Linked DNA regions of Yarrowia lipolytica. The protein of the gene in region 1 purifies or fractionates together with the protein of each later gene. This does not show direct contact. Links are inferred from orthologs where the notes say so. Each region holds a gene or a part of one and is shown on either strand. Other genes may lie near its edges.

Region 1 (4,341 bases):
ACCGCCCTCTCGCTCGTCGGCAGAGACAACGGCGGCCTTGATTCTAGCAGAACCGAGAACAATTCGGCCAATGGTGTCGGTGATGGGGGACAGATCGACTCGTCGGGGGTCCTTGGCGTCTCGCTTCTTGATAGTGGACAGGAAGATTTCCGACGCGGACTCGAGCCGTGTGAACTCTTCGGCGTCGTAGAATGCCGCAGTCTGTGTTAGCTAGAGAAAAGAGGAGTACAGTGGGTGCTGCTGTACAGTATTGTGATTAGATCAGCAGCTGTAGATAGTACTTGTAAAAGTGTAGATCCGATCGGGAAATTATACCAGTCGATTATTCAACCACAGACCTGTAGAACAACCCAAACAGCACCAACCAACTGTCGAATCAAAGCAACTATCACACATCGCACCTAACTGCCAATCTGCACTGCATGCGGTTGATTCTATACTCACCTTAATGACCTCCGCCATACCGTTAATGAACTCTCGAACGGGCAGAGTCTCGAGGAAAGAAGTGTCGATGAAAATGTTGACGGGCTGCCAGAAGGCGCCGACCAGATTCTTGCCCAGAGGGGTATCAATGGCGGTCTTGCCTCCAATGGACGAGTCAACCATGGCAAGCAGAGTGGTGGGGATCTGGACAAACCGCACTCCTCGCATGAAGGTGGCGGCCACGTAGCCGATCATGTCTCCGATCACTCCGCCTCCCACAGCCAGGATCACCGTATCTCGGGTGCAGCCCTTGGACAGCATCCAGTCTTCAATGGCGGCCTTGGTGGCTCTGGACTTGGAGGTTTCTCCGGGCGCAACGGTGTAGGTCAGCAGTCGGCTCTTGATGCCGTCCTTGGCAAACGCAGCCTCGAATTTCGTCTTAAGAGACTCAACGTAGCCCAGATCCTCAATGTTGGTGTCGGTTACCAGAATGTAGGTGGACGACTTGATGTTGGCCACGATTTCAGACACAATGTGGTCCTGCATCTTGTAGCCAATGTGGATGGACTCCTTGCCCAGAATCGGGACCTTTTGGATCTGACCCTCGGCAAACATGGTGGTGTGTAGTTGGAGATGCGACTGGCTTGGAGAGGAGGTTTGTATAGAAAGATTTGAGTGCCTAAATTGAGTTTAGACTGGAGAAAGGTTACATGACTCACCGTACAACCTGTGCCAAGGGCGGGCCAAAAGAGGATGTTCCGGGCTAGATATCGACATCGACACTGCTTCGGGTGATTGATAGCCCATTTTGAAGCAGATTGAGCTTTGAAAAATGGCAAAAAGACCCATTTTCGCCCAACTGACTACGACTACTGCTAGACCCGGACCGTTGGGCTAAGTCGTCTTCAATCGTCATTTTAGAAGTTCTAGTTGATGACTGCTCACTGATTGGCACAGATTTCAAAAGCACCAATAGTATTACATACTACAAATAGCACTTTTTGAGAGGCGGCTTTCGGATGGATATGGTCACGTGACTCACATAACCTGTCCAATCACGTAATCACTCTACACGTCGACATGAGTACATATACTCGTATGCAAGAAGGTACATACTATGTTGCCAATGTTGGGTCTGCTGGGAGGTTAACCGTTCGGGTATAAGTAAATGTCAAGTAATAGGAGGAAGACACTTTGAGGAAAAGTGGATATAACTTGAAATAGTGATGAAAAGGAGTATGTTTTCCTCACATAATAATACTCTTCAAGGCTGCAGCTATCAAATGATGCAACTATAATAATTGTAGCATGTCGGGATCATGGAAAATGCACCCCTAGCACACATTTTGGTTCAACTAAATCTCAACTAATTACCATTATTTGGAACATGGATCATTCATAAACCAGAATCCGTATAAATACGAATATATTGGTATGAAAACAATCCCAGACGTGACATTGATTGACCAGCAGACACTAAATACCTATTAATATTTCAGATCTGAACTTCTGACGACTTCAAGTTCTCCTTCAAGTTCAGCCGCAATGTAGGCATACAGCTGAAATTTGACGTCTAAATATGGCGCCATTCTCCAAACTACACACCCAAGTAAAAAGCATAAGTTAGATGAAACATTAGTTAGCTTTTTGGTCACTTGAGAGTCGCTCCAAAATGGTCAACGCTCCTTTTCTCCGATCCAAATTTACCCCATTTAATGCAATAAAGTCCCGACCCGCGGCCTCGTTGCATCTATGGCGATTTTCTCCCCATCCCCCGGCCCCACTCCCTCGCTTAGTCAGCATGCACATTCATGCAGACTTCAAATATTTTTGAAACTCTGTGTGCGAACTATTCACATCATCCTAACTACACTATGAGCAAAATCACCAAGCCCAAGAGCGCCCTGAAGGGCTCCAAATCCGACAAGAAGCAGGTCAAGATGGCCGCGGAGGCCGCGGAGAAAATTGTGGCCGAAAAGCCCGTCGAGGAGACCCCAGCCGACCTGTCCAAGACGATTGTGAGCACCTCCTCTTCCACGTCGTCAGTTGATCCTGCTTTTCGAATCGTGACAGGTTCCTACGAACACAATCTCTTTTGTGTTTCTCTCCTGCTGGGCACCTCGCCTGTTTTTTCGCCCATTTTCCATTTTACTCCTCACATTCAGTCCATCAAGTGTCTGGCCACCTCTGGACGGTATCTTGTGTCCGGATCGGCTGACGAGAACATTCGAATCTACGATCTTCAGAAGCGAAAAGAGCTCGGCACACTGACCCATCACTCGGGAACCATCACTGCTCTCGAGTTCTACAAGAGAAAGTGGCTGTTGACTGCCGGAGAAGACGGAAAGATCTTTGTGCTGCGAACCAAGGACTGGGAGGTGCTGGCAGAGCTCAAGGGACACGCTCGAGCCGCCGTGGGCAAGGCCAAGGTCGGTGTTGTCGACATTTCTGTTCACCCCACCGGCCGACTGGCTCTGTCGGTTGGACAGGACCGAAAGCTGATTCTGTGGAACCTCATGACCGCCAAGAAGGCCTCTGTCATGGCTTGCTACCCCGACGTGCTCAAGGTGGCGTGGAACCTGGCTGGAGATCGTTACGCAGTTACCTACACCACGTCCATCTCCTTCTTTTCGCCCGAGACCGGCAAACTCATTGGAGCCATCAGATCGCCCAAGGACGGTCTGTACCACTCCGAGTACGTGTCCATCGACGGAAAGGAATATTTTGCCTTCTCCAACTCGCGAGGCGTGATCCGGTTTGTGGACACCAACGAGTTCGAGGGCAAGACCAACGACACAAAGAACGAGTTCAAGACGGAGGACGAAGACATTGATACCATCTCCTTCAAGGTCCAGCCCCACGCTACCCGAGTCAAGGACTTTTCCTTCCTCATCCCCGATAATGTTCCCGAGGCCGATCGACACGTCTACATGACCTCGGTTTCCACCGACTCCAAGCTTGTCATCACCGATATGAACACTCGAGAGACTGTGGGTGCCTACAACACCGGAGACCGACTTAACTGTTGTGTCATGGTCCAGGAGGACGTGGAGATGGAGATTAAGAAGGCCTTGCCCATTCCCGAGAGCGATCACGACATGTCTGCTTCCGAGTCTGAGGTCGAGATGCCCCAGCCCTCCAAGAAGCAGCAGAAGAAGGCTGCCAAGGCTGCTCGAAAGAACAAAAAGGTGAAGGTGACTATTGAGAAGGATAACTAGACAATGGCGAGCATGGATGTCAGCGCATTTTCGAGCGACTCAGCGCTCCTTGTACCTGTATAAACGGAGTACATAAACTAAACTAATAGATCTTGTATATCATGGAGAACCTAATGTCATAAGGGAGTTTGTTTCAGATCAACTCCTGCTAGGAACAGTGCGCAGACACCTGATTGATCAAATCTCCAGGCAAGTTGACAAGGGAAGAGTTTGTATATGAAACTTGGTACTGACACAAGTTACATTTTAATATATATATAATAAATAAATAAATAAATAAATATAAAACATATTGTAAGATAAAACAACTCCCACCAGTCAACATCAAAAAGCTGTCTATTAGTGACCTTGCCAGTCGTCTCCCAATATAATAAGGTTAGGAGGTTTGGTTTTCTTTGCATCTAACATGCACATTACACGTGACATTGTTTACTTTATTAAGTTAAGGGGATACAGTCTATACAGTCTGAATTATATTGAAGGGGTGATTTGGCAGCCAGTGCAGCAAGACGACGATCATCAAGAGGTCTACCAAGATAGACACAGACACGAAACAGACGGACAAAACCGGAGACACAAACCCAAACTCCTGCCAGTGACACAAATACAACACCCAAAGCAACACATCTTCTGCCCACTGACATGGCCAAACCGCGACTTTCATATACAAACGGCGCTCCAAGCAAGGCCAAGCGAACGA
Region 2 (5,319 bases), on another chromosome or scaffold:
AACTATCTTGGAACTGTTCTATAATCTTTGTAACTCGGAAGACTTGTAAACATTGTGGCACTTCTCTACTGCAAATGATGGCAGCACCCATCATTTACTGAGAACAATACTATGACAAGGGTGAGTGGCAGCTATGTCAATCTTTCCAGACTTTCACACCCTATTTGAGCAATATAATATATATATATATATACTATATATATATATTTCCTCTACTTGCACTCATACAAATATGTCTGGATTAATGCAGATCTATTTCCATTGGCGAAGTTTAGCCCTCTTTGAAACGATATTATGGGATCTGCTCAGTTGGCGGGCCCACCTAAACGGAAACGGGCATTTGTGGCATTGTCGCTACTTGATCTGACCTACTAGTGCTTCAACTTTTCTACCATGCTCTCGTGTTACAGCTTCACGGTATTGTACCACAGCTCGTACTCCCCATATCCCTCACACTACTCACTCTTCACCCACTACACCTTGTACTTCTCTTATTTGTACTACAAGTACTCATACTCGTCAAGCCCGAGCAGTTCATGCTTCGCACCTTTTACTGGCGTCAGTTCTATCAATATCTTTATTAAACGACAACTTTGCTACCTCCTAGCATTGTTGCTATGCACCATTGGAAGATTCCAACACATCCTCGCGCACTTGTGAACCACTCCTTACGTGGTCCACAGCTTTGCAGTTCCGTCAGCAGCGGCTGAAAACAACCAAGCCTCCCGGGGATGCCACTCAACCCGCAGAATACCCAGACCGCTCTTGACATCGTGGCCCTTGAGCACCTTGAGAGGCACCAGCAGAGGGTTGGTCATCATGTCGTCGTAGACGGTGCCGTGGAAAATGTTAATATTACCGTCGTCAGAAGCGGAGCAGAACAACGGCAGACCACCCTTGTGGAATGCTGCGTGCCGCACGGCCTTTTCGTGGTATCGCAGGGTCTTGTAGGGCTTATCACTGAGGTCGAGATCGTGCCACAGAAGCCGTTTGTCGAACGACGACAGGATCACGTTATCACCACGGGGATGAATGTCCAGAGAAGACACCCATCTAGCACCGGGCATAAGCTTCTTGGCCATGACCTGCTTGGCCAGATCGTAAATACGCACGTATCGCTGGGTGGCAACGTACAGATGAGGTCGGAAGGGATGGAACATGGCGTCCTGCACAATACCCTTGGACTTATTGAAAGGCGACTGTGACGAATGCTTAGAGATCTGGTGGATGGCCACGGCTCTGTGCTGCGCCGAGGGGGCCACAGTGACCAGATAGTCTCCCTTTCGGTGCCATGCGAGTCGCTTGATGGTTTTGGTGGCGGTAATGATGGCTCCAATACCAGAGGCCTGCTGCTTGGCGGTGGGGGTGATCCACTTGGCAGGAGGGCTCTTCTTCTTGACGTGACCGGTCTCGTCGTCCGAGTCGGAGTCAGCATCGTCATCCAGACCCTTGGTATCGATATCCTGCTGCTCTCGTCCTCCCTCGGCAAAACCCCATCCCTGCTCAATCTTCTCTCGGCCGGTGTTCTCGATATCAAAGTCAAACAGCGTGGGAGGCACAATCAGGAAAATATGCTCACCAGCAGAGGCAGCCAGCATGCCAGGGACAGCGGGGTTCCACTGCACACACTCGACTGAGTCATCCTGAGCATCAATGGACGCCACCAGACGACATCGGTACAGCTCTCGACCAGTGAGCACTTCCCAAACTCGAAGAGTTCCGTCGTCGCCTCCAGTGGCAAGGAACTCTCCACTGGGATCCACAGAGATGGCTCGAACCTTGCCCTTGTGGCCCTTGTAGGTGGTAGCACATCTGATGGGGAAAGGCATGAGATCCTTGGGGGAGGGGAGATCGGGAATCAGAGAGTCGGGATCAATGTTGAGCTTGTTCTTTCGCACTCGAGGAGCCAGGTAGAGATCCAAAGACCGCTCGAAACGCTCTCGAACAGACTCGGAGTAGCCGGGCACATGTCGCAGAGCAGTGTACTTCTTGGGCACGTAGTTTCGCTCTCTCTCGGAAGGAGCAAGAGCATTCCACTCGGCAATCTCCTCTTCGGTGGGCAGATACTCGGCAGGGGGGTTGTAGGACTCGTCGTGGGTGGGAGGGGGCATTTTGGGGGCTCGCAGAGTCATGACGTGGTCCTGGACGTCCGTGAGGTTGTCGGCCCACACGTCGTAGTTGGGTCGGGCGTCAGGGTCCTCCTTGGGCTTTGTCAGCAGTTTACCCTGTCTAATGGCCTGCACCATCTTCATGACTCGCTTGGCCTCGTGCTTGGAGGGAATGAATCGTCTCTTGGGCTCGGGCGCAGCAGACAGAGGCATGATCTCTGTCTTGGAAGAGAACCACTCCACCAGGTCCTCGTAGGGATTGGAGGCGTCATCGGTGGTCTCATTCTTCTGAATCCGCTTGATGAGTTCCAGTTCCTCCTTGGAAATGTTGAGACCCTTTCCGGTGCTCTTGTCTAGCAGGCCGGTCCATCCCTCGGGCAAATCAATCGTCTCCAGTAGGTTGTCCAGAGCAGAACCGGTAGCGGGTCGCATGATTCGCTTACCGTTGATGTCATATCCAATGTGAGGCATCTGGTCGTAGGCAGACAGGGGCACGTTTCCAATGGTATTGGATTCCTCCTGGTCCGAATCGTCCGAGTCGTAGACAGCATGGATTTCCTTCTTGATCATTCGAGGCTTGCCGTCGGCTCCAGGCACAATTTCAACCACGTCCTTGAGCTCATCAGTCTGGTCGGAAGATCGAGACAGAGATCGCAGACGAACTCCGTCATCCAAATGCTTTAGAATCGAGGGGTCGACCTCGTCGTCTCCAGCATCAGAAAAGTAAGCCAGCTCGTCTTCCAGCTCGCTTCCAGACAGATCCTCCTCTTCACCGATGAGTGCCTCAAGCTCGGCGTCAGAGTCACTTTCATCGTCGGCATCTTCTTCGTTTTCAGTCTTGCTGGTGTTCTTCTTGTCCTTTGTCACATTTTCTTGTGCCACTTCCTGCTCAGCTTCATCCTCGTCGTCGGAGTCGCCCTCATCAATGAGTCCCTCGACATCGAACTCGTCTTGCACGTCGACAGGCTCGTCGACTTTGCGCTTCAAATCCTTCTTAACGGAGTTGGAACGACTTCGTACCATTTTTGTGTGCTGTGCGAAAAGTTGCAAATCCAATTTAAAAAAAATTGTCTACTATGCATGTCCAAAGTTAAAGTCAGGTTATGACGAGGAGGAGAAGTGGACATCACCTATACTTGGTTTACGCGGTGAAGTTTGTACTCCACATTAATATCTGAGCCAACACCATTCTTATGATCTGCTCAGATTTTACACATCTCACCAACAACCCCTCTTTTGAAGGGTCCCACAAACGTCACATCTCCACAATAAAATTCCATGCAACTCTGTAACCTCACTTACCTTACAAAGGAGATATATATGTCATCCATAACCAAACATTGAGAGTAGGTAGGTGGTATAAAAACAATACAAGCTTGGCTTCTTGTGATATGATCTCCATATAAAATATCCCATTTTTTCACTCGTGCATAGGTCATATCACACGCCCCAATGCCCCACAACAAAACCACTAGACTGTGCTTAACTACAGTAGACTTCCAACAACGTATACTTGATCTGAAAGCTATATGAGGATTACGGCGTTCTCAAATTGTTCATCCGATTATAATATTGACTGACCAATTTCCTAGGCCATCCTGTCTTACGCCTCAACTTCGATATGGATCCCACTTGCACACCACTTCTTCATCACCACCTCACCCGTACGTCAAACTCTACAAGCGAGGTTCTGTCAGCACAATAAAAACGCTTTGAGGGGCTGCACAATCTTGGTGTCGTCATGACCTCGGATGATTTTGGTGAGAAGTGACTGGGTTGTTTTCTTGGTTGAAGAAATGTAAGAGTAGCTACTTGTACTGTTTGCCCTTTGAAGACTATTGACACACAAAACTCCAGTGCAAGTTCCCATCAGGGGAAAAAAAAGATTGCAGCACCCAGGATTCTCGTATGGGTCTCCCCACTACAATACCTAACTAGGCTCTCCTGGTGCTTGGACTATGGCTGATCGGACGGGAAGGCCGTATTTTTTCCCACCAGGATAATGGCCGCAACCGTTATTCAATAAATTTGGTTGGACCTATATGATGGGAAAGATATATCACGTGACATAATGAATCATTAGAATAAAAAAAAAAACGTGAATCATTAGAATAAAAAAAACCCTGCCTCGCAGCGCACACCGAAACGATTTATGATTTATTTAACGCCAATAACCCGGCTTACTACAAGTACATACTGTAGGTATATAGCTGTAGTGAAGAAGAAAAAAAAATTAGAATAAGCTGTAAGCCGGGTTATTGGCGTTCAATAAATCATACACTTCTGAATCATTGCGGTGTGCGCTGAGAGGCGCACGTCAGTTGGTTTGTCGACGCTTCGTCTCGTTCTTGTCTTTGTCGTGGTCTCGTGGTATTGTTTTGTTTTGTTGTATTCTAATGATTCATCACCGTTTTTTTTTTTTTTCTAATGATTCGGCTTAGTCATCTGAGTTCTGTTGTTTGCGTCCCAAGAAAATAAATATTATGTTCGAAATGGCATCCTGGCCGAGCGGTTAAGGCGAGAGATTAGAAATCTCTTGGGGTTTCCCCGCGTAGGTTCGAATCCTGCGGATGTCGCCATCTTTTTGCCCTTCCGTGGAAGAGCTTATTTTTTTGAGAGCAATTGCGACACACTCGGGGTTGCTATGATTGCCACCAGGCACCGTATAAACTGTGTTCAACCACAATTGAGACATTTCAGGCTCCTGTATATATTTCAGATTACTCAGCCAGTTCGAAGGCAAACTCAATTCAACACTCATATACATGATAAACCACATACTCATATCTCATGCACTCTACCCCAACACATTACACAACATCATGCCCACACTCCACTGCCTTGCCGACCTTTGCCTCATTCCTGTGAGTTACGCCGATACTATCAATTAATGTACCCCGAAATATGACTAACACAGATTGGAACAGGCAACGCCTCAGTTTCTGAGTACGTGACCGACGTGGTTCGAGTCATCAAGGCATCAGGTCTGCACTACGTCCTCCACAGTGCCGGCACCACCATCGGTGAGTATACATACGCTTCACAGACAAGTCACACAGAGAGTGGATCATACACAGTCACACACCACACGCAGTTTTGTGGGGACACAAAGGCATGTCGTGCGATACAGACGCCAATCACACCAACCTTGTCACTCGTTGACATGAGCTAACCACAGAAGGACCCTGGGATGAGGTGTGTGCCACCATCG

The links.
Region 2: the proteins of YALI1_F17004g (region 1) and YALI1_E31351g purify together in Saccharomyces cerevisiae (affinity purification with mass spectrometry, with the first as the bait; 3 studies listed by BioGRID). This does not show direct contact. The link is inferred for Yarrowia lipolytica from reciprocal best matches to the Saccharomyces cerevisiae genes MAK11 and ERB1.

Annotation. Positions count from the first base shown.
Region 1 is NC_090775.1:1,698,226-1,702,566, forward strand, and holds YALI1_F17004g (uncharacterized protein), read left to right. Parts: upstream 1-2,234; coding exon 2,235-3,641; downstream 3,642-4,341. Other genes in the region: YALI1_F16984g (uncharacterized protein), read right to left, coding at 1-201, 445-1,038; YALI1_F17025g (uncharacterized protein), read left to right, coding at 4,284-4,341.
Region 2 is NC_090774.1:3,132,003-3,137,321, forward strand, and holds YALI1_E31351g (uncharacterized protein), read right to left. Parts: upstream 3,132-5,319; coding exon 669-3,131; downstream 1-668. Other genes in the region: YALI1_E31369g (uncharacterized protein), read left to right, coding at 4,931-4,972, 5,026-5,131, 5,287-5,319.